4 linked regions of the Arabidopsis thaliana genome follow. The protein of the gene in region 4 interacts with the protein of the main gene of each other region in a biochemical or structural test. Each region holds a gene or a part of one and is shown on either strand. Other genes may lie near its edges. The genes, in order: CO, BLI, iqd2 and BIN2.

The links.
Region 1: the proteins of BIN2 (region 4) and CO form a complex in vitro, tested with the Arabidopsis thaliana proteins (one study listed by BioGRID).
Region 2: the proteins of BIN2 (region 4) and BLI form a complex in vitro, tested with the Arabidopsis thaliana proteins (one study listed by BioGRID).
Region 3: of the proteins of BIN2 (region 4) and iqd2, one has a biochemical effect on the other in vitro, tested with the Arabidopsis thaliana proteins (one study listed by BioGRID).

The regions. Positions count from the first base shown.
Region 1 is NC_003076.8:5,169,661-5,174,737, forward strand, and holds CO (B-box type zinc finger protein with CCT domain-containing protein), read right to left. Parts: upstream 3,426-5,077; 5' UTR 3,038-3,425; coding exon 2,276-3,037; coding exon of another isoform or gene 2,135-2,275; exon of another isoform or gene 2,043-2,134; coding exon 1,683-2,042; coding exon of another isoform or gene 1,678-1,682; 3' UTR 1,389-1,677; coding exon of another isoform or gene 1,351-1,388; 3' UTR 1,244-1,350; coding exon of another isoform or gene 1,234-1,243; 3' UTR 502-1,233; downstream 1-501. Other genes in the region: AT5G15843 (uncharacterized protein), read left to right, coding at 1,234-1,243, 1,351-1,388, 1,678-2,036, 2,135-2,251, 2,569-2,722. UniProt on the Arabidopsis thaliana protein: Transcription factor that acts in the long day flowering pathway and may mediate between the circadian clock and the control of flowering.
Region 2 is NC_003074.8:8,662,041-8,669,788, reverse strand, and holds BLI (BLISTER), read left to right. Parts: upstream 1-1,748; 5' UTR 1,749-2,348; coding exon 2,349-2,405; intron 2,406-2,652; coding exon 2,653-3,139; intron 3,140-3,251; coding exon 3,252-3,799; intron 3,800-4,094; coding exon 4,095-4,214; intron 4,215-4,687; coding exon 4,688-4,753; intron 4,754-5,001; coding exon 5,002-5,112; intron 5,113-5,310; coding exon 5,311-5,387; intron 5,388-5,547; coding exon 5,548-5,615; intron 5,616-5,697; coding exon 5,698-5,811; intron 5,812-5,964; coding exon 5,965-6,149; intron 6,150-6,279; coding exon 6,280-6,348; intron 6,349-6,641; coding exon 6,642-6,803; intron 6,804-6,890; coding exon 6,891-6,971; 3' UTR 6,972-7,376; downstream 7,377-7,748. Other genes in the region: HSP60 (heat shock protein 60), read right to left, coding at 89-248, 395-548, 739-776. UniProt on the Arabidopsis thaliana protein: Is required for normal leaf, flower and seed development and controls cotyledon and leaf patterning by inhibiting premature differentiation. Regulates the expression of a subset of PcG target genes.
Region 3 is NC_003076.8:709,408-715,017, reverse strand, and holds iqd2 (IQ-domain 2), read left to right. Parts: upstream 1-1,884; 5' UTR 1,885-2,464; intron 2,465-2,599; 5' UTR 2,600-2,611; coding exon 2,612-2,671; intron 2,672-2,748; coding exon 2,749-3,075; intron 3,076-3,227; coding exon 3,228-3,449; intron 3,450-3,734; coding exon 3,735-3,854; intron 3,855-3,981; coding exon 3,982-4,638; 3' UTR 4,639-5,070; downstream 5,071-5,610. UniProt on the Arabidopsis thaliana protein: May be involved in cooperative interactions with calmodulins or calmodulin-like proteins. Recruits calmodulin proteins to microtubules, thus being a potential scaffold in cellular signaling and trafficking.
Region 4 is NC_003075.7:10,294,242-10,299,899, forward strand, and holds BIN2 (Protein kinase superfamily protein), read left to right. Parts: upstream 1-1,896; 5' UTR 1,897-2,232; coding exon 2,233-2,247; intron 2,248-2,284; exon of another isoform or gene 2,285-2,836; coding exon 2,837-2,929; intron 2,930-3,020; coding exon 3,021-3,353; intron 3,354-3,445; coding exon 3,446-3,520; intron 3,521-3,613; coding exon 3,614-3,670; intron 3,671-3,764; coding exon 3,765-3,905; intron 3,906-3,995; coding exon 3,996-4,046; intron 4,047-4,126; coding exon 4,127-4,222; intron 4,223-4,308; coding exon 4,309-4,392; intron 4,393-4,474; coding exon 4,475-4,672; 3' UTR 4,673-5,148; downstream 5,149-5,658. UniProt on the Arabidopsis thaliana protein: Negative regulator in brassinosteroid signal transduction pathway important for plant growth. May be also involved in auxin signaling pathway. Phosphorylates and increases the degradation of BZR1 and BZR2/BES1 by the proteasome.

The sequences.
Region 1 (5,077 bases), on a different chromosome or scaffold from region 4:
TAAGATTATTATCTTTTGATAAGATAAAGATAGAAAATGATCATGCAACAACAAAAAAGGAAACTTCCTGAAAGAAGATAAGCTTAGTTCGGAAGACTACTTGGGCCGTCCCCTGAAACAGAAGTTTATCGCGCAAGAATAATTGGGCCTTATATCAGATCCTTTGGCCCAGCCCGTTAGTATTAGACAAGACCAGTTGCGTGCGTCATTGTTGAATATTTCGAAGTTTGATGATCGATCGTCGCTCAAAATTTAGGGCTTTTCACTTCACAATCCCGATTTGGGGTTTTCTGGTAAACTCCTTTAATCTCAGCTCGTCAGACAAAATCGATCTGGGATGAATTTGGATCTAATTGAGCAAAAAATTGTGTTTTTTCAATCTATTGAATTTCACATCCTTAAACCCTTGCATATTCAATCTATTGAATTTCGCATATTTTTCCTCAAATTTATCCAAAATCATCCCAAATCTATTGTGACGGGTTGAAAGTAAGTTTCTTTATCGAAAATCAGTTTGAATGAATGTTAGGGTTTATATTTTGATGGTGACTGATTCCGATTTGTATAAATGTTAGGGTTTATACTGGTTTCTGACTCTCTGGTAAGTATAGAGATGATTATATATTAAATGGTGTTTTAAGGCGTGTTCAGATATAGCTGTGCTTGTGTTGTTCTGTTTTGGCATTTTTCATTTGTTCTGTCTTTACTTCTTCTTAGTCAGTCTGTGGATTTCCTTTGTAATGGTTATTGGTTAGTTAGGAACTACTCTCAGGCCTTCTTCACATGACACCAAAGTTTTTTGTGGATTATGTGGAGGAAATTGCTATTTTAGTATATGGTCATTGAAGCAAGATAAGAACCTTAGAAAGCAGAGTGTTATAATTTTTCTGTCAAACTCATGCTGTAGTTGCAGACTTTTTCCTACTTCAGATTAAGGAGAATGGTTTTTTTTTTGTAAGCAAGAAGTTAAAAGAGTGAGAATCTATGAAGGCCCAGGGACCATGTAAAGTTTGGGAATGGTTTTAAAATTTGATGGCTTTGAGAATCGATCTGAACTATCCTTAGATTTTTGGAAAAGTGCAAAAAAGTGCAAAGTGCAGCATCCTTATATCACTTTATGAACTTTTCACGTGAGGTCTCGAATCCATCACTTAACATTAACACATAGTATAAGCTATACACTTGGTTGTTATTACTTATTTCTTCTTACAGTTCTTGAAGCCGAGAACATATATGGCTGATGGTTTCTACAATTAGGAACGTGATATGACTCATTTTAGTAAGAAGTTGTGATTTACAGCTGAGGAGTCTGTGTTATCAACTTGAATTGTAGAATCTTTTTGTTGTCAGGGAGGCGTGAAAGTGTCACATGTTCAGGTTATCGGGAAGTTATTGGCTTTGAACCTTGGCTTCCCTCTTAGTAGTTAGCAAGGTGAAATCTGCGTTTTCACTTCTTGATGATCCATATTTCACAAATGGGGATCTGTACCAATTAGACTGGTTTTGTTTAACTAATGCAGAGAAAGAAGAATACTATAGTTTTAATTAGCCAAAACTACAAACCCATTTGCACAACAGTAGTAATACTTCTTGAAGCTAAGAATTTCACCAAACCTAACATAATCTCAAACTAAAAGTAATTTACAGCTTGCAATCTAGTTTTTCTTTTTGCCACAGGAGTATCAGAATGAAGGAACAATCCCATATCCTGTGTTGTACATTAGCATCGTGTTGAACCCTTGCTCCTCGGCTTCGATTTCTCTCTTTGCGAACCGGCCATTGACCCGCGGTCTTATCTCTGCATATGCCTTCCTCGAAGCATACCTTATTGTCTTCTCAAATTTCCTTGTCTTCCTCTTCTCTCTGTATCTCAGGACCCTGGCTTCTCTGTCCATTGGACTGAGTTGTGTTACTGTTATCATCTGGCTTGCAGGGTCAGGTTGTTGCTCTACTGTCCCTTTGGGCGTTCTTGGGTGTGAAGCTGTTGTGACACATGCTGTTGACTCCGGCACAACACCAGTTTCCATGGATGAAATGTATGCCTAATGACAGAAACAAAGACATTCTCAATCCCCCTGGTAAGAGGACTAAAGAGAGTCGATGCAAAAGGAAGCATATATTGTTTTTATTATAGACTTCTGGTGAAATTTCTATGTGCTATAGATCAACTGTTGGCAGTGGATCAGTGGATTTGTGTGTATGATGAAAGAATTCACCCTGCTGCGTTATGGGAAGATGCTAAATTGAAGGGGTAACAAATATACAAAAGCCTTACGTTATGGTTAATGGAACCATTGTCGTTGTAGTGAGTCCCTGAGGAGCCATATTTGATATTGAACTGAAAATTCTGTTGGTTATGGCACTGGTGGCCCCTTGATTCTTCAAGTTTAAGCGGAACAACTCTATCTCCCCCGTAGCTCGTCTGTGGTACGCTGCAGTTTTGTTGGTGTTGACTGTATTCACCTGTGAATTTGTAGTCCATACTCGAGTTGTAATCCACAAGGTTTAGATACTCATCACTAAACAATAACCCATTGTTTTGGTTATTGTTATTTTTGTCTGAATTAGGGAACAGCCACGAAGCAACCTCCTTGGCATCCTTATCACCTTCTTCACCTTCCTCTTGATCCACCACCAGTCTCTTCTCTGGATCGGTCATTGTTTTCTCGCTTTGGTGGTGAGTAGTGGTCATGGAGCTGAAAGAGTTTCCAGAAATTGGTAGAATTGGAACTCGCTGATGGCGTCTAGCAAGTGGGTTTGCAGAATGAACCTCTGAATCACAGGCTGTGCATAGAGAGGCATCATCTGCCTCACACAAAAAAGCAGCCGGAGCACGCTCACATGACTCGCAGACCCGGACACGTTTATGGCGGGAAGCAACGCGATTGGCAGAGTGAACTTGAGCATCACAGCTCATGCACAAGTAGGCAGAATCTGCATGGCAATACACGGTGCAGGCGTTTGACCGGCATGTGTCACAGGGTCGTGCCCTGTTGTTCTCTCCACTACCTATGTCGTTACTCTCTTGTTTCAACATAATAACTCAGATGTAGTAAGTTTGATGGTGTGGGAGCTGGTATCTGAAAGAAGGGGCTAATAAAGCTTATATCTGGTGTGAGAGAATAAGTAGAGGGGAGATCGAATCCTGAGTGCCTACACGTGGCACAGCGTTAGTGGCTCTTACATGTTATTGGATCCTCTTGCAGCTAGTTGAGCTTTTGGGAAGGCCTATGTGTAAAGTGTAAAGTGTAAAGTGTAAAGTGTAAACATCTCCTCCTATGCACTTCTTCGTTGGGACCCGTTCACAAGTTGCTTAGGTTTTGCCACTTGCCATACTGAGATTCTCAAGAGGAAGTGGTCCGGATAATGCCATGGTGTTGCAGGCAAATTGTTACTATTTTTTCGTATCACCTTTTACTATTTTCATATGCATTTTATTTAAAGTAAAGCTAGATTCGTTTTATCTCTTTGGCTTTATACAAAGTTTAAGTGGTTGAATATTCATCCTGAACCTTGTGATTACTGTTCAGGTATCTCTCCGAGTAAGGCTTCGAGTGTCAGAGCCATCACCAACTGTTATGGGTTGACTACCTATACAAAGGTTAGACAAACTCGTGAATATGGTATAGTTGTTGTTCCATTATTTGTGAATGCATCTGCATCATTTAGAAAGATTTGCAATTGAAACTTTCGAAGGATTTTCTGATGAAAAGTGTTATAATGTTTAATCTGGTTCATAAAGTCATGGTAATGAGAATCATATCGGAAAAGTGACATGAAAAACATAGAGACGGTGGATTTTCTAGGATCAAACTCGAATCCGCCAAGTAGTCTTGAGACTACAAATTAGAATTTACCTGACGCACAAGTTAAAACTTAAAAGGCATTTTGGAGTCCACATGAGCAATAATTAGATTTATCATATATAGTATGTAGAAATTTGCACTTGGTAACCATTATAGTAAGTAGTTACAAAACATGACTCATGAGTGTTGTCACATCTCTGTAATTTGGGTTTATGATGATACTCTATACTATTTATTGTAGCTTTATTAGATCTCAACCTGTGGAAGTAATCTAATACAAACGACACTTGTATGGAATTTTCAGGACATGTTTCTAAGATCACAGAGGTAATTGTGAAGTTTTCTGCTACACTCATTTACTAGTCCACATGATCCATAGATGCAATTTAACCATCTTCACTCTATTTGGTGACCCATTCATGTGTTTAGCATCGTGGGTTTTCCTGTACTAATAACCATTAGTACTTGGAGTTGCCTTGTTGGTGTTATGCTCATAATGTTTACTATGTGGAAGCTACAGGATACGATACTCTCTAGGTTTGAGGACTAGCTCCAGTTACGCTTTTGGGTCCAGTGAATGTATGATACCCATTATGTGGTCCAAAAAGAATGAGATTTGACGGACGCTCTAGTGGCCAAATTCATATGGCTACCTTCACTCTATGCCTTAAGAGCTGAAAAGTGAGTGTTTTTTTTTTGTATAAAATGCTGGTCCTAGGATACACTTTTCGCATCTCTTCCTCTTTCATATTTGCTTACACCGCACTTCTCTTTCCCATTTTGAACTTTAAACTTTGAAAAGTTTTTTTTTGCTTGGTAATTGGAACTTAACATACAAGTTCTTGTTATTTACTGGTTTTACGATGAATGTAATGGCATTTAGAATTGTTATGAAATGGTTATATGATCATTGAATTCTAAAGAAAAGATTCTAGGTTCTTTAGTAAGCATTTTTGGAGATCTTTATCCTGCCAAGTTGGATAAGTTGAGGCATCTTTGGCTTTTAGTGCTTTGGTGATGAAATTTTTTGGAGATTGTAACGTGGTTCGAGTTCATGAAGAGTAAATTGTGTATTGGCCTTTTCACTTGTAGCTCAAGAAAAAAGTAGTTTTGCTTATTATTGCTCGTTGACAGTCTCTAATTAAGTTTATTGTTGTAGCGGTTTGGAACTTCTCTCACATGTGTAGGCCTTCGGATAACTGTTACGAGTAATAGATCATATGTAACAATATCCTCAAAGTTGCATCGAGATTTTCAAGAAAACACTATTG
Region 2 (7,748 bases), on a different chromosome or scaffold from region 4:
CATGACAAGTTAAACAAGCATTGGTACATAGTTTTGCAAAGTTTCTACAACTATGAACCGCATAATCAATCAAAATGAAATATCTTACCATCACCAGCAACATCATTAGTAGCATTTGCAACCTGCTTCACAAGACTAGCACCAACGTTCTTAATTTTGTCTTTGAACTCAATACTTTTGGCAACAGTAACACCATCTTTTGTCACTTTAGGAGCACCCCAACTTTGCTCAATCACAACATTACGTCCCTTCAAAATTAGAATCACATAAAGCAGAAAGTCTTAGACCAAATTCGATACAGAATCAACCGGTCACCCAAATCACATGCTAAGGAAGGAACCTCTGGCCAAATCATGTCCAAATCAAATCAAAATGTGTAGAAGAAAAAGAGTACCTTGGGACCCATGGTGACTTTAACAGCATCAGCAAGATCTTCAACACCCTTAAGCATCAAAGCTCGAGCTTCAACACCAAACTTAATCTCTTTCGCTGCATAGTTCCTGCTCCAGCTCATTCTGCTGGAAACCTGGCGAGCGTTTTGAGCAATCCTGAAGAACAGAGAACAATAAAGACACCATTTTTATTATCAGAACTGGCAATTCAGAATCGGGATTAAGCTAGTAGATTTCGAGAGCCCAGATGAATTTGAAGAGAGTAGATCAAAACCCAAATCGATTTAATTCCTCATTAGCTTCCAATGAGAGTGAATAAAAAACACGAAGAAAGTGAGTTCATTACCTTGCCTTGGAGGCGAGGTTAGAAGCGAAACGATACATGGTGAGTGAGAAGGAAGAGGATTAACGATGAAGAGATGATTCTGATGAGCGAGTTAGATTAGATCAATGGAGAACAGGCGGAGAGAGAGAGAGAGAGAGAAGAAGAGTTGAGAGGGCTTAATAAGCGAAGGAGAAGAGTCTAGAAGCAGCTGCTAGTTACTATATGAGCCTTTTAGGGTTTTAGGCCTCTTTAGGGTTTAACTTTCATTTCAAACTTAAAAATCGTTAATCTCATTTGACGAAAAAAAAAAAAAAAAAAGTCGTTAATCTCATTTTCCAATTTAATTTCTGTAATATTTTTTGCCCCAAAGAAACAGATTTCATTTTTTCATCTTTTGATAACCAGCATTTGTGATTTTGCCATAATATACATGTCAAATTTTATATAGCGTTTAACCAAAAAATAAAATAAAATTATATCGCTTGATCTAAATATCCTTGAATCTAATCAAACTGAACCACACCAAACCAAAGAAAACCAACGGTAATTAAATGGTTCCGGTTGGATTAGGTTTTTGGTTTAGGTTTGCTTCAGCTCTACAAAACAAATCGGTGTTTCGAGTTTTTTAAATTGAATTTGTTCTCTAAAATCAGTGGCAATTTGTGTAATATTTTACCTCAGTAAAAGTTTCTTAAATACGCAAAGATAAAAACTGATAATATGAAATAGAACTCCAAAAGAAATCCAAAATCCAAACAATGCAAACAAAAAAGTGAACCAAACCCCATAATAAACACCTAGATGATACCAAAAGGTTGACCTTGCTTCACTTTTTTTCTTCATTACTTTGCTCTTTTAGTTGTCCTAAAGTAGAGGAATTTGAAGCTTCTATTGATATTAAAATTTGTCAATTTCTCTCTTTAAAAACATGAGTAATTTGGTGGGCTGTCGTCATGTTCCACGGGCCACATGGATGCTCCTATTTATTTTCTTTACCTGTCATATGTGTCCATCACGACTCATTTCTCTCCATTTTTTTTTCTCTTAATTTTCTTACTACCTAAACATTCTCTCTTATTTTTCAAAAAATACAACAGACTATGAACAAATACATTACACACTTCTTATACATTTTTAAAATCAAAAGCTACATGAAATCTAAATTTCACCAAACAAACAATGAGTGAACGTTAAAAAAAAATTGCAACCAAACAAAGAAAAAAAAAAACGAGTAAAAACGTTTAATTCAAAGCAGAGAAGGGGAAAATAAAAAGAAAGGGATCTGTTAAAAAGAGATCTGACGAACAAAATTAATATTTGAACTTCGTCCTCCTCTCCTTCAGATCGAAAACCCTAATTTCGATTTCTTTGTTTGACAATTCCATCGATTTTTGAACTTGTTTTCTCGAGATCTCCATCTGTTTCCTCCACCCCGAAATTTCAACGATATCTTCTCGATCTGTGCGTCAGGATCTGGGCTTTTTGAAATTTGAGTTTTCTCCTCAATCATAACAACGGCGATTTCCGGGAATGGCTTTGGCTAAAACGGATTCAATGGTAATTGAAAAAGCATTGATTTGAAGCAATTGGAGAGGGAACATTTCCCTCTGCGAGATTTCGAGTATTTTTCAATGGCATCAGCTACTAGTTCCCGGAGGCAAGAGGACGTTGAAGCTGGACGCCGTAAGGTAGATCATCATCATCATAATCATCATCTTTTGTTTGATTCTCTCGTTACTTTGAATTTGCCCCTAAAATTTGTCGGTGCTGAGTCAATTGATCATTTTTTTTAGGTGGGTTGTTTATATTGGAATTGAGATTGATGTCCTAACGCATGCAATCAGAATTGAGATTTATTCGACAAAAAGCTTGTTTTTTTTAAAGATGAATGCGTAAAATTGTGTGTTTCTTATCGTTTAATTTCTGGATTTTCAGCTTGAGCAGTTTCGTAAACGAAAAGCAGCAGAAAAAGCTAAAAAGGCATCACAGAATACACAACCTGTTGATAATAGCCAACAAAGTGTCATAGATTCAGATGGAGCTGGTGCATCTATCTCTAATGGACCTCTCAAGCAATCTGCTGAATCTACCTCAAATGAAACCCATACCAAAGATGTATATAATTTATCATTTTCGAATACAGCAATGGATGATGGAAGCAAAGAAAGAAGTAGACAAGATGATGGTCAGGAATCAGTGGGCAAAGTTGATTTTTCTAATAGCTTAGAGTTGATAGGTTCATCGAAGGACTTAACAGTGAATACTAGGCCTGAAGTTGTACCTTATAGCAATATAGACAAGCAATCGAGTGAAAGTTTTGATCGTGCTTCTACTCTAAGAGAAACTGCATCTCTTTTTTCTGGAACCTCAATGCAAATGGATGGTTTCATTCACGGCAGTGGATTAACCTCATCCAGAAAAGGTACGTGGCTATCATATGAGGTTAATGTAGTAATGTATTTTGTCCTAACCCTCCTTCTTTTTTGTTCCTTAAAGGCAACAACCTAATTTATCATTACGGTTTTTGTTGCTAGACTCTCTACAACCTACTACCAGGATGGCAGGGTCTTTTGACGAAGTTGCCAAAAACCAACAGGGAAGTGGTGAACTAGGAGGTAGCATTGTGCAGAAGCCAACTTTGTCAAGCAGTTATTTGTTTAATTCTCCAGACACATCATCTCGACCTTCTGAACCTTCAGATTTCAGTGTGAATATCACAAGCTCTTCACCATTAAACTCAGCTAAGAGTGAAGCAACTGTGAAGAGATCTCGTCCGTCTTTCCTTGATTCCCTCAATATATCAAGAGCTCCAGAGACTCAATATCAACACCCTGAGATACAAGCGGATTTGGTTACATCCAGTGGTTCCCAACTATCTGGCAGTGATGGTTTTGGGCCATCTTATATATCAGGGAGAAGAGACAGTAATGGACCATCATCTTTGACAAGCGGAGCATCTGATTATCCTAATCCATTTGAAAAGTTTCGGAGTTCTTTATATCCTGCTGCCAATGGAGTAATGCCAGGTTTTACTGATTTCTCTATGCCAAAACAAAATGATGATTTTACTGCTCTGGAACAGGTAAGATACTTATTTCTTGCACCATCTTTTATTTTGTTAATGTATTGTCAATTGCTACTTAGTATGGTCTTCTCATTTAGAAGAACTAAGTGGGGAATTGATCTGATGTTATATAAAGACGACCAAATCGTCAAAGATATTGAGTGGATGCCTCTCGCTGGCTGGATCATAATCTTCTTACCTTGTCTTGGATTGCTCTTTGATTTTTCTTTAGGATGTTAGCTAACACTGTTCGTCTTTGTACACCCTTTGTCCTGTGACTTTTCTGAGCTACAGTTTCATTTTTCACTTGCAGCATATTGAGGATTTAACACAAGAAAAGTTTTCACTGCAAAGGGATCTTGATGCTTCACGTGCACTGGCAGAATCCTTAGCATCAGAGAATTCTTCAATGACAGACACTTATAACCAGCAGGTACATGCAAGCTTATGGCATCCTAGCTGAATACTGGCCAACTCTGATTTTTGTACTAGAAAACAATCTTGACCACTTATAGTAGATGACTAATTATTTGCATTTTATCATGCTTAATTATTAGCAAGAGTATACTGTCATGTGGTTTTAGGATCCTTGGGAAATGGAAATATAAGAATATTTATTATTCATGATGTGGATGGATGTGATTTGAGTCTTTCGTTAAAGCGTTATGCTCTTGAATTAAACCATGTTTAGACTTTGTTGCGAAAACACACAGTGTTAGACTATGTGTTTGGAGAAGGTGCTTCAGGATGTCTACCTAGTTGACATTTACTGGGCTTGTCTACTTTTGAGAATGCATGATGTTATATATTGTTTGCTATAAGACATGGTGTCCACTGAGCTTTATAATAGTCACAAATCCTCCCAATGTTTTATGTAATACTTGTTCTCGTTTCTATCTCATACAGAGAGGTCTTGTCAACCAACTAAAAGATGACATGGAGAGGCTATATCAACAGATCCAAGCCCAAATGGTAAGTATTAACTGCCTATACAGTCACCAAATTCCAGTTGTATATGATCGAACAGTATACTTTATTAAAGCATGATATTGCATTTTTCTACATCCCTGTACTATTAGATTGTTTGATGTTTACTTACAAAACTAAAAATTGGAGTATGATTCTGGATGAGTAATTGCATGCCATGTTCTTTCATGCACTGGAGCTATTTCTAGATTACTTTAAAAGCTGTTACTTGATTTAACACTAATTCTGTCCAGGGCGAACTTGAGTCTGTCAGGGTTGAGTATGCAAACGCGCAGCTAGAATGTAATGCTGCTGATGAGCGTTCCCAAATACTGGCTTCTGAAGTCATCAGTTTGGAAGATAAGGTATTTGGCTTTGGATGTTATGTCTTACAATAACATTAAATTTGAAAAAACAACTAACATTTTTGGCTTACTTAGCTGCAAAAGTGTGCAGTGACATGTTTAGTTTAGTTTTTGAATATTTCAGCTGTGAAATATCTGTTTCGTCTACCTTCAGATGCTTACCTGTTTAGCTTGGATTTTTCTTGGAACATATATTAGGCTCTCAGACTCAGATCTAATGAGTTAAAGCTGGAGAGGGAACTGGAGAAGGCACAAACAGAAATGTTATCTTACAAGTAGGCTCTTTACTGTATTCTATTCATGTCCGTAACTTCACCTTTACATGATGTTTGATCCAAAAAGAACCGTGGGATACTGGAAAACTCCCTATGGATTCAGTCTGTAACTTTTATGGCTTTCTGGGTTCTATTTTATCTTACCTATCAACTTCAATAGGAAAAAATTGCAGAGCTTAGAGAAAGATCGTCAAGATTTACAATCTACTATTAAAGCTCTTCAGGAAGGTATGCACATTGAAATCTACTCCTCTAAGGAGTAATGTGATTGAACAATGCATTAGCTTATTTTCTGCATCTACTGTTGCAGAGAAGAAGGTCCTACAAACTATGGTGCAGAAAGCTTCATCTGGTGGAAAATCCACTGATCTGAGTAAAAACTCAACTAGCAGAAAGAACGTGTCAACCTCTACAGAAGGTCTTGGTAATGGTCTTTGCACACTATTTAAGAAATCTGAAGCGTATTTTGGATGTCTAAACTCATACATTTGCATCTTCGGCAAACCTTAGATAAAAAGTTTCAAGTTTAATCTTTGACTTCTAACCAGTCCCCTGACTCTTTGGATTCTTCGTGCAGCAATCTCAGATACTACGCCAGAGAGCTCCAACCAGGAAACAGATTCTACTACTCTGCTCGAAAGTGATTCATCTAATACAGCTATCATTCCTGAAACTAGACAATTAACTCTTGAAGGCTTTTCATTGAGCGTCCCAGCTGATCAGATGAGAGTGATTCATAACATTAATACGCTGATTGCTGAGGTAGTTTTTATGGATGATTGATTTGATGTTTTCTTTAGCTGTGAGAAGCAATACTTTTTAATTCTCAAGGTGCTATCATTTTCTCAATCTGGATAATAACGTGATGATTATTTTGTTTCTTCGGCTGCAGTTGGCAATTGAGAAGGAAGAACTGGTGCAAGCACTGTCATCTGAGTTATCTCGAAGTGCGCATGTGCAGGTACAGTAACATAAATTCATGGGGCTAAAAACATGTCTTCTTTGACTTGAGTAAGAATTTTCTGTCACCATAACATCATGCATAAGTTCTCTGGCTGAGCTTTCTATATGGTACTCCGAGTCCTCATAGACTCAAAATCCAAGGCCTTGTCTTCTTCTTATACTCTTTTTTTTTTCCATGCTGGTCCCTGCGCTCCTTATTTTCTCTGGGTCTTTTATAAGTTACGTTTTACTGTTTGTGTGTTTATTCTGTATCCCCAAATCATTTATATTTCTCATGTTTCATAACCATAGGAGCTGAACAAAGAGTTATCCAGAAAACTTGAAGCGCAGACGCAAAGGTTAGAGCTTGTAACAGCGCAGAAGATGGCCATAGACAATGTTTCACCAGAAAAGCAGCAGCCGGACACTCATGTTGTTCAAGAGAGAACACCGATTGCAGATGAAGGCGATGAGGTACTCTCTCATGTTCTCTGTGTTCAGAGTTTATAAAGTTCAATCTGAGAAAGACCACAGTTTAATGATATCTCTCTCTCTCTTTAGGTGGTAGAAAGGGTTCTAGGATGGATCATGAAGATGTTCCCAGGAGGACCGTCGAAAAGAAGGACAAGCAAGCTTCTCTAATGCATGGATGGCTTGCTCAGTCGTGACCCTTGTTGCCATTCTGTATATCCCGGGCACAGCCATGGATTGCTTCTTCTCCTTTAGTTTTGGAAGAATTCATTTGGTTCTTTTGATCCAAAATTTTGGATTTCATTGGATTGAGCAAAAATGGTATAGTGAGAAACACCATGAACTTGAAGAGTTCCAAATGGATAGAGGAGACTCGGAAGCTTAAACAGAGAGAAAGGTAGTTGTTATATGAGTGCGTTTTTGTCTGAATTTTGTAATTGTTGATTATATAGCCAAGTTAAAGTGTTCCTCCTAGCAAATATAATTTACCAAGAAAAAATCTTGTATGGTTTCGGATATATTTTATCTTCTCGTTTTAAATTGAAGACTTGATCAAACTATGAAATACAAGTGTTAACACTATCGGTTATGTTCAAATACTGTTCATTTCAGTCCGAAGTACAATTAGGTGATTACACACACACAATTTGATCTAAGAGTATATGAGCCATTCAACAAGAGGAACTATCTGGTATCTAATGATAATCTAATCTAATCTAAAATTTAAAACATTTAGAAGCCATTGTGGATTACACTTTATCTTCAGTAACCAATCAGAATTGGGTTAAAACAAACGAGTGGTTGATATAAAAAGATGTATATTAGAGACTTTGAGTTACCATAATCCTATTTTGTTATTCTATAAATATGTGTAATCTTTTGTTTAACCTCATAGTTTCGATAAGATAACCTACTTTGTTCGTTGCCGCCGCCCACCGTAAAAATCTT
Region 3 (5,610 bases), on a different chromosome or scaffold from region 4:
ATCAAAAACCAGTAACTCTTCATTCTCTTTTGCAATTCTTAAATGTTTTTCTCAGTTCTTGTTTCAACTCAATCTCCCAAAAACTCTCATGCTGAACGTAACCCTATCTTTTAAAAAATATTATTATAAAATTGTTTTCTTATAACTATAAATATTATTTTAAATGTGTATGTTTAACTGAAAAAATAGATGAACTGAAGTAGTAACAAAAGTTGAATAGTGGTGAAATTAAATTCTCTGAGGTGATATAGATGGACATGGACTAATCTATATATGAAGTTGTAAACTGTTAATTCAATTAAATTCACTGGGAAGAAAAAGGTATGGCGTTATCATGGGTTCAGGTTTAGGTGTTAGCCAATATAGGAATCTTCTACCGTTGCTCTGTTACAAAACGACAAGACTTAAATGTCGGGTCGTTACCAAACTCACTGGCTCATCTAAATATCTTTAAAACGCTAACGGCCCTGACCTTATTTCCATGCCCCACTTACATTTCAGATAATGCCAAATGGATTTTTCGGTTCAATTTTGGTTTAGTTATCTTTTTTTTCCCCCGGTTTAATTAACTTATAAATTTCACTTGCTAGAATGCAAAGACCAACTCAAAGTTGACCGACGGGGAGAGAAATTTTCATAATAGCTTATAATTATTTTTTATTTTATTGGCAACGACAAAGTTTGAATTATACATTAGGTGGAATGTCCATATCCCCAATTCAACTACCGACTTTGGATATACAGATACCTATTAATATTATAAGTTATCAGAGGCATATCTTTATATAAACAGTTATACATAGGACTTTGATATGTTGGACATATGATTAGCTAAAATAAATTATCAAATTCCAACGGCTAGTTCTCACTTATTTTATATGAAAATAATTTTAGGGATGTTATACTAACGAAACAGAGAAGACGCCACATGGAGTGATTGGACATATATATGCTTTTTTTTTTTTTTTTTTTTTTTCTTAACCACAAAAATTACAGGAAGACTGGTACAAGCTGGCCACCGATAAGGAACCTTTTGGGTTTATCTCCGAAAAAAGTCAATGATTTCAGGCAGATAATACTTAATCCAGTGGACAAAAATTATATACTCTTTCAATCATCGTTCTAGTTCACTGTATGTCAATCCATATAATTTGGGAAATTGCTTTTGTGGTGGATATACACGATCATAGAGCAAAATACAGTCTGCTAATAGCTGTTGCATAAAACGAGTTTTTCCAAAGCATTATTTATGGTTTGTGTCACTAGGTATTATGAGTCAAATATTTTCTTTGTTCATCCATCGGAGATTAACTTAGTAGTGTGGGTGGATCTGAACATAAAATATGATATGGTGTACAAGTACAATGACCAACTAATTTTCATGATTTATCAAATCCAGAAAGTATTAAGTATCGTATATGGTGGCTTGTTAACGAGTATATTTTAAAATGATAAAGGCTGTCTCACTGGTGGACATATTTTGTTCACATGTTTTGTCGGTTGTAGTAATGTAAGCGTGTATTAAAACACACATACTTTATACGGATTATGCAGATGAATTAATTCGATAAACAATTGGTATTTGACGACAAAAAATACGATCTTAAATCTTAATTCGATTAATAACAGATATTTAACGGCAAAAATATAGTGTTATATTTTAACCCGCCTAAAGACAAAAATTAAAGACGAATAAAAACTTTTTATTGCAACAATTTTGTTTTATTAGGTGAAATTAAAGACCAATCTTACCGGATAAAGTTATAAATTAATTTAAAATTTATATGGTCACTGTTTTATCGATCCTCATAACTTGTTCATTAAATTATCTAGTTTCAAAAAAGGTACAAAATCCAATACATTTTCCAGTTTACACGTTATCCATATTTTAAGAAAATTTCAAACATTTTTAGAGAAAACACCAATATACCATGTCAACTATGTATACTATTTTTGAAATGCACCAAATAATAATAAATCTAAAGATACTATACTATAAAAAGAAAAATTAACAAAACAGTGTTTATGAAACTTAAGAAATAAAACTCATCACTAAAAAAAAAAAGTGAAAAGAATAGAGTAAAAGAGAGACGAAGTTGGTAAATTAAGAAGAAGAAAAGGAAAAAAAGAAGAGTAGAATGGGGCCCACAAAAGAGGCCCAATTAAGTGGCATCACGCACAAACACACACCGTCACAAATACTCTTCTTCACACAGCTTTGAATCCATCTGTCTTCTCCTCTCTCTCTCTTCTCCATTTGCAATTATGATAATGTGAAAGCAATTCGAAGAAGAAAAGTTATCTTCGCACCTCAGCAAAGATCCAATCGATTCGATTCTTAAGCTTTTTCGTCTTCTCCGATAAGGTCACTACTTAGAAGCCGCGTTGTGGTTTAGTTGACTCCTCCAGGTTTTATCTTCAAGCTTTTTCGTCTATCAGATCTGGTGTCACTGTCTTCTCATAGGTACGATTCATTCTCTCCCTGATTCAGTATCAATTGGTGAATTTTAGCTCTAGATTTCGAGATCTGTCGTAATTTAGCTACTGAGATCAGTAGATTCAGTTTCCTTGTGGAATAATTTGTTTCTTCTCTGTGAAGGATTACATAGAGATGGGGAAAAAAGCTAAATGGTTTTCAAGTGTTAAGAAAGCATTCAGCCCAGATTCAAAGGTGAAGTTTTTTTTTTTGTATATTGATGTGACTTAATGTTATAGTCTGTATATATTGACATGTTGATGTGTTTTCAGAAGTCGAAGCAAAAATTGGCTGAGGGACAAAATGGTGTTATCTCTAATCCTCCTGTTGTGGATAATGTTAGACAATCTTCTTCTTCTCCTCCTCCTGCTCTTGCTCCTCGTGAAGTGAGAGTAGCTGAAGTGATTGTTGAACGGAACAGGGATCTTTCACCTCCTTCTACAGCAGATGCTGTGAATGTTACAGCTACTGATGTTCCTGTAGTTCCATCTTCATCTGCTCCTGGTGTTGTTCGTCGCGCTACACCTACTCGATTTGCTGGAAAGTCAAACGAAGAAGCCGCTGCTATCTTGATCCAGACTATATTTAGAGGTTATTTGGTATGTAATTCTACTCTTGCAATTGGCTTTATTATCTGCAGAAACTTAATTCCTTCGGAATTTCGTATGAGTTTGACCGAGGCACTTGATTTTGTGTGAAGGAAGCTGCTTTGTTGAGTATAATCTTATTTTGTGTAATATCTGAAATACAGGCAAGGAGAGCGTTGCGGGCAATGAGGGGTTTGGTCAGACTTAAGTTATTGATGGAAGGATCTGTTGTTAAGCGGCAAGCTGCAAATACTCTAAAATGTATGCAGACTCTCTCTCGTGTACAGTCGCAGATCCGAGCTAGGAGAATCAGGATGTCAGAAGAGAATCAGGCTCGCCAGAAACAACTCCTTCAGAAACATGCTAAAGAGCTAGCTGGCTTGAAGGTCTGTCTCTCATATTCATCTGATTCAGTTTTTTTCTTGTTATTCAAAGTTTCTTCCGTTGTTTTTGGTGAGAGGATTGCTAAGAAGTAAGAACTGTTGATTTCTTCCTAGCAGTTGCTATTATGTTTCTGCTTATTAGTCTGGAAAGGGTTAATAGTAGCATTACCATTCATATCAAATAGATGTTTACTTACACTATCAATTTACTGTCTCTTTTTTTATCTGAAAATGGAATCTTTGGGCCTTTGCTTATAAAAGTACTATTTTTCCTGTTGCTGCTCACAGAACGGGGATAACTGGAATGATAGCATTCAATCAAAGGAGAAAGTTGAAGCGAATTTGCTAAGCAAGTACGAGGCAACAATGAGAAGGGAAAGGGCATTGGCTTATTCATACTCTCATCAGGTACTCCAGTCGTTACCTATAATGCTGAATGTGTGGAAAGATACAATTAAAAAGTGAACACATCCATTGAAGTTGAATCTGTGGTTCATTTGAATGTTGTAATGATCCTATATGTTCATGTTTGCAGCAAAACTGGAAGAACAACTCTAAATCTGGAAACCCGATGTTCATGGATCCAAGCAACCCGACATGGGGTTGGAGCTGGTTAGAGAGATGGATGGCTGGTAGGCCACTAGAGAGTTCCGAGAAAGAACAAAGCAACAGCAACAATGACAATGCTGCCTCGGTCAAGGGCTCTATTAACCGCAACGAAGCTGCAAAATCTCTAACCCGCAATGGCTCAACTCAACCAAACACACCATCATCCGCAAGAGGGACCCCAAGAAACAAAAACAGTTTCTTCTCACCTCCAACTCCCTCAAGGCTAAACCAATCCTCGAGGAAATCCAATGACGACGACTCCAAAAGCACAATCTCGGTCCTGTCCGAGAGGAACCGCAGACACAGCATTGCTGGTTCATCAGTCAGAGACGATGAGAGCCTCGCTGGCTCACCAGCTCTCCCGAGCTACATGGTTCCAACTAAATCAGCTCGAGCCAGGCTCAAGCCCCAAAGCCCATTAGGTGGTACCACACAGGAAAACGAAGGGTTCACAGACAAGGCATCAGCTAAGAAACGGCTCTCGTATCCAACTTCGCCTGCATTGCCTAAACCACGGCGGTTCTCAGCTCCCCCTAAGGTGGAGAGTGGCGGCGTTACCGTGACCAACGGAGCAGGCAGCTGAGGTATTTTATTTAATATAATTATTTTCCCACTTATGAATGTGTCCGAGATTGTTGTCTCTTATGTGTTCCCTTCATTTCGTAATTCATTTGTGCAGTGTAAGCGCCAGTCATTTATTTTTTTACTATAATAAATTTTATAACCTTTTAAAATTCATGTTCTTTTGTTTCTTTGAATATTTAAGTTATTTTTATTAATGTTGGATGAATTGGAATATGATGATGTTATTTGTATTGTAATGCAGATCCTTTAAAGCTTAATTAATTTGTAATACCTTTTATTTGTAGTCGTAAATATCTTATTCTACGTTAGGTTGTGCTTGTATGTACTATGAACTATGAATATCTGTGCTTGTATGTTTTTCCTTCAAAAAATATTCATATCTTTTTTACTTGTAATCGCAAACATAATCCTGTCAAAGAATCTTTGAAGATTCCCTTTTTTTATTTACTTGGCGAGAAATCAAACATTCTCTGGAAGATTAGGTATAGTACTTTGCCTTGGCGGCGATATGAAAGGAACAAAACTGTATACCAAACCCTCCGGTAGAGGAAGAGGGGTTTTGACCTTTTCTTACAAAAATGGTCGGTTTTGACTTACTTAACCGACAAATTTGTTGAACCGACAAATTTGTTGAACCGACAGTATTAAATAGAAAAGAAGAAGGAAGTTCTCTTCAAACCGACCTCCTGCCCACGCAAAAAAAAAACAAAAAAAAAGCAGCAGCGAATTTTTATTTCTCTCCTCCCAGAACCCTAAACCCATTCCCCAATTCGATCGAGAAACTCGACAATCGAAGAATTTATCAGGAAATTTTGTTTTTTTTATTCCGATTGAGTTTTCTCCGAACAACTACTTAGCTGAATAATGGTAAGTTTTTTTGGTCTGATCTTGTTTCCGTTTAAGCTGGATTAATCTATTTCTCTCTCTCGCTCTGAATTATTGTAGGAGTATCTTGAAATTCTAGTCAGTC
Region 4 (5,658 bases):
GAAACTCGGTTATACAATGAGGTTATCGTTCAGGCCTCTGGAAAGAAAATCAATTCTATAATACTTCAATAACTTTTTAGTAAAACTAACTGGATCAACTGATGAATCATATATCAAAAAAACAAAAAAAAAAACTAACGGAGGTAGACAATAGTTTAGCTGGAATGCTTGAAGAAATGGCAAGAATATGCTTCGAGAAGTTATGATTTATGAAGAGGTTACCTGCAAATTTTTTCATTTCTTTTTGCCGACGGTTGGCTGTTAGTTAGGAAAAAGAATTTTTGTTATAGGATTTTCTCTTCCGTTTCGTACAAACCCAATCATTATTCTCGTCTTTATACTTAACTTTGCCTCTCATTTTCATGTTATCAATCTTTTAAATTAAATATATCGTCAATGACTGTTATGAATAATTAGTTCTTCATTCTCTGCCTTGGTTCGAACCTCAGTCACATGGTGCACGTTATTGTGATTTCCCATACCTCAAGAGTTATTCAAGATCCCTTACAGAAATATATTTATATAATCTTTTATCTAATGTAGTTATTTACAAACATGTATTATCTACCAAAATAAAAAGGGCTAAAAGCTTCTTGAGTGAGACCGCTTTTGGTTCGATTCATTTTCCTACACTCCAATAGTATTACACTATTGTATATAACAAGAATCGTGGGATTTGTTTAATCCGTACAATGAAACAAGAAAGATATACAATAACTTAATATCATTTTTTTTTGGGGACAATCTTAATATCATTTCTAATTTCTATAGAACCAAAAACACTCATAACAACTTAAACTTTGTTTTTTGTGAGAAAAATAACAACTTAATTACTAGTTACTACATTGACAATTTAACATCTTCAGCTAAAACCGAATGTATATGAACATTTATAATCTAGTTGCTATTGTATATACGATTGGATAATACGCATATCGACATTTAAATAATTGAGCCTGAAGATAATTCACAAATATGCAATGTAAATCCGTCCATACAGCCAAAAGTATGTATGTCCCATGCATAATTGAACAAAAAGAAATTATATTAATATTATTTTTGTTGTCTTCTGCAAATGCTAGGACTGCTATCATTATCATCATTGATTTTAATATTGATGTTTCCAGAAAAATAAATAAACAAATATAAAGAAAAAAACAAACACAATAAGTAAAGCTACACTATTAGGTAATAATTAAAGCTCATTTTTAAGTCTAAAATTTTAATTATAAAATAAAAACATTAAAAAGTTAAGACCCAAAGAAACATAAATGCTTTTTTCTTTCATCAATGTCAAAAAAGAAGTTTTCCCACCAAATGGTCAAACTTGGATCTTTGACAATATTGTTCCAATTTCATCATGCCCTATCTTTTCTATTTATACACATACCTTAGATATAATTATTAAACCCAAAATTTGTGTTAAGAAAAAAAATAGACCCAAAATTTGTGTTAAGAAAAAAAATAGACCCAAAATTTGGAATATATATATAAGTCACCGCTGGAAAAAAAATTATTGCAAGTAATTTCTTATATGAAATTGGAATGATAATATTTTGATCAAGTATCCATTACTAAAATTTTACAACGCTAGATAACGAGATTGCTTGAAGTCGAACTTGTGAACAAATTATAATAATGTAAAACTAACTTGTATTGACTAATCTTTGATTTTTTTTACAATAATGAGTGATATTACATTCATTTTATTAACTAAATACAACGAATATGATAAATATTCAGTCCTCTTATAAACTTTATGATAGTGAAAATTTGAGACATTGACAATTCTAGCATTCTAACATTTTATGAGATTACATGAAATGTCAATTTAGACCTTAAACCAAACGAATACATGATTCAAATTTGACCGACAAGTACATGATGCCTTCCCTTTGATCACGAAATTTCCACAAAGAGTCCGTGTCTGCGTAATTAACCAGCAATTTCAAGGGTGTTTACGTAATTGTAGCTTAACAAATAAAAAACACGAAAGAAGATGGCGAAGAAAACGGAAAGTAGTAGATAGATAAAGAAAGAGAAAGAGAAGAGCTGGATTCACATGGTCTTGTTCTTTCTCTCTCCTTCTTTTCTCATCTTGCGGCTTCCCTTTCTCTCTCTATCGCCACAATGATCATTACCAACCAAACTGATTGAAACTCATTTGTTCTCTCTCTCTCAAATCCACTCTCTCTCTTTCTTTTCTCTTCTCCTCTCTGTGTCTCTATCGCCATGGCTGATGATAAGGTAAAGCTGCTTGTGTTCCTTTTGCTGTCTTTTGAAGAAGAAGATCCTGTTTTTTGGTTTTTCCACATTTGACCCTTCAATTAGTTGTCTTGAGATTCCTGTTCTTACAGATGTTTTGTGATAATAAATCTAGTTTAGTTAGTACTCTTGAAGTTGAACGGTTTTGAGTTCTGGGTTTGTCCAAAGTTTTGAGCTTTCGTTAACTTTTTGACTTACCCTGAGATCTCTGAGGGTTTTGAGTTCTGAGCTTAGAATTTTCTAAGTTAGCTCTGTTGGGATGATCCATGTCTATATATCTCGATCTGTGATTAATCCAGAGTTTATACAAGCTGCTAGATCCATAATTGAACATAGATTAGTCCTTGTTTGGTTTGTTATATGTATTTGTTTTGTTTACCATTCTTTTGGCGTGACAAAAGTATATATTTTTAGTTTTAACTAAATCAGATTCACTCTGCGTAACGGTTATTTTGTAACCACTCTTTTAGGATAAAAGTTTCCTTCTTTAGACTTTTGATTCTCAGACAAGCATTATTCTTTTAGCTTTTGATAATGGTTTTGTGCTGATATTAAAGCTTTTCTCTTTCAGGAGATGCCTGCTGCTGTAGTTGATGGACATGATCAAGTCACTGGTCATATTATTTCCACCACAATCGGTGGCAAAAATGGTGAACCAAAACAGGTATTTTTAAGGCTTTTAACCAAATAGACTCACTTTTATGTATATGCAAGATTTTGATGGTTACCAATACATTTTTCTATGTTGTTGTTAGACAATTAGTTACATGGCGGAGCGAGTTGTTGGTACAGGCTCGTTCGGGATCGTTTTCCAAGCAAAATGTTTGGAGACTGGAGAAACCGTGGCGATAAAGAAGGTTTTGCAAGATAGAAGATACAAGAACCGAGAACTTCAGTTGATGCGTGTGATGGATCATCCGAATGTGGTTTGTTTGAAGCATTGCTTCTTTTCGACTACAAGTAAAGACGAGCTTTTCTTGAACTTGGTTATGGAGTATGTCCCTGAGAGCTTGTATCGAGTTCTGAAACATTATAGTAGTGCAAACCAAAGAATGCCTCTTGTCTATGTTAAACTTTACATGTATCAGGTAATAACAACACACATTCATATCTTCCATTTCCAAAGTTGATGTACATAAGATTGTTCTTAGGCTGATATTACTTCCTTTTGTTATGTTAGATCTTCCGGGGACTTGCTTACATTCACAATGTTGCTGGAGTTTGTCACAGAGATCTAAAGCCTCAAAATCTTCTGGTATGTGTAACATTTTAAGATTGAACTCTTTGTTTTTTTTCTTGCCTTTGTTTCTTTCGTTCTTAATGTATCTCTTCTGGTCTCTTTCTATAGGTTGATCCTCTTACTCATCAAGTCAAAATCTGTGACTTTGGCAGTGCGAAACAGCTCGTAAGACTTTGTGACATATAAACTCATTCGACTTGTAGCGGTTGTTGTTTTCTGTGATCTTGTCATTTACTGTTGAAATTTACTTTTGCTTCAGGTTAAAGGTGAAGCCAACATTTCTTACATCTGCTCACGATTCTACCGTGCACCCGAGCTCATATTTGGTGCCACTGAGTACACAACTTCTATTGATATCTGGTCTGCTGGTTGTGTTCTTGCTGAGCTTCTTCTTGGTCAGGTAAACAATTCTTTCAGTAACCAGCTTATTCAATCTCCATGTGTATATTTGCATTAGGACTCATTGTGACTATATCATGTTCTTATGCAGCCATTATTTCCCGGAGAAAATGCTGTGGATCAGCTCGTTGAAATTATAAAAGTAAGAATCTTTAAACGATGATTCCTTGCAAATTACATTCTTTGGCTACAAAATCCTCACTGTATAGTTGTTGTACACAGGTTCTTGGTACACCAACTCGAGAAGAAATCCGTTGTATGAATCCACATTACACAGATTTCAGGTTTCCACAGATAAAGGCACATCCCTGGCACAAGGTTAGTGTCTTTTCTCTTTTTGCATGTGTTCTTGTTTCAGTTTCTTTCTTCACACATCAACTGATCATAATTACGTTTTGGTTTAGATCTTCCACAAAAGGATGCCCCCAGAAGCGATTGATTTTGCATCAAGGCTGCTTCAATACTCTCCAAGTCTAAGATGCACAGCGGTAAGCATTGGTCTTGAGGTTTCTTCAGTCTCTAAGAATCCAACTGAATCCTTACTATATATTTTGTTTCCTCGTATTTCAGCTCGAAGCTTGTGCACATCCGTTCTTTGATGAACTCAGAGAACCAAACGCTCGTTTACCAAATGGACGGCCTTTCCCGCCTCTCTTCAACTTCAAACAAGAAGTAGCTGGATCATCACCTGAACTGGTCAACAAGTTGATTCCAGACCATATCAAGAGACAATTGGGTCTAAGCTTCTTGAATCAATCTGGAACTTAAAAGGGATCCTGCAAAAGACAACTACTTTTTTATATATAATGTACCATTACACGAGCCACAAGGTCGTAGTTGAAGGCAAACGTGGAGGACACAATTCAAAGTTTTTCCTCCTCAAACTCGTTCAGACAAAGCCAGCTGCTAGCAAAACCAACTCCCCCAAATCTGCGAAAACAAAAACTCTCCAGTGTTGTATCTGCTTATTTCTCTTCTCTTTTCAAGTTTGGTGAAAAACACAGTCTCCTCTTTGCTTCATTTCTTCTTTCTTTCCCCCTTATGTAAATGAGTTTAGTCAGAAGTTTTTTTATATAGTAAAGTTTGGGCAGAAGGTGAAGAATGTAATCAAAGTGATACTCTTTCAACGAGGAGCTTCTTTCAAACACTTTTTTTTTTTTTCAAACACTTCATGAATGGATACATGGTTTTGCTTTAAGCATAAGTATATTTGTATTAAATTTTCACTCAATTTAATTGCACGAATCATTACAAAAATAATATCTCGCTACTCATATAAATACCCTATAAATAAATAAGTGAATTTTTTTTATCTCTCATGGAAATTTGATTTATGTATTTATATGTTTTAAGATTCGAAGAAATTTTTAAATAATGAAAATTTACAAATATATAATTCTTAATTCAGAATTTCAGATATTGAATTACTTATTGGATTTTTAAAACAAAAAGAAAATTACATGACTTTTTTTTTCTTTTTTTTTTTTAAATATCTGTTAGTTCAAGTTAAAAGACCATACATTTTCTAAAGGCGGGACCTATATCAGGTTAAATTCATCTCCTTTTAGAAAAAAAATATATTTGGGAAAGGCTTTGATAGCAAGCAATTAAAGTATCCGAAACTAACAAAACCTATCTGGTCTTGGACTCTTAGTCTTTATATAAACAACATCAGATAGATCGAGAGACCATACGCAACAATTTACTAATTTCTCTTCTCCTTCGTTGCTTTTGAAACCCTAGTTATTATCGAG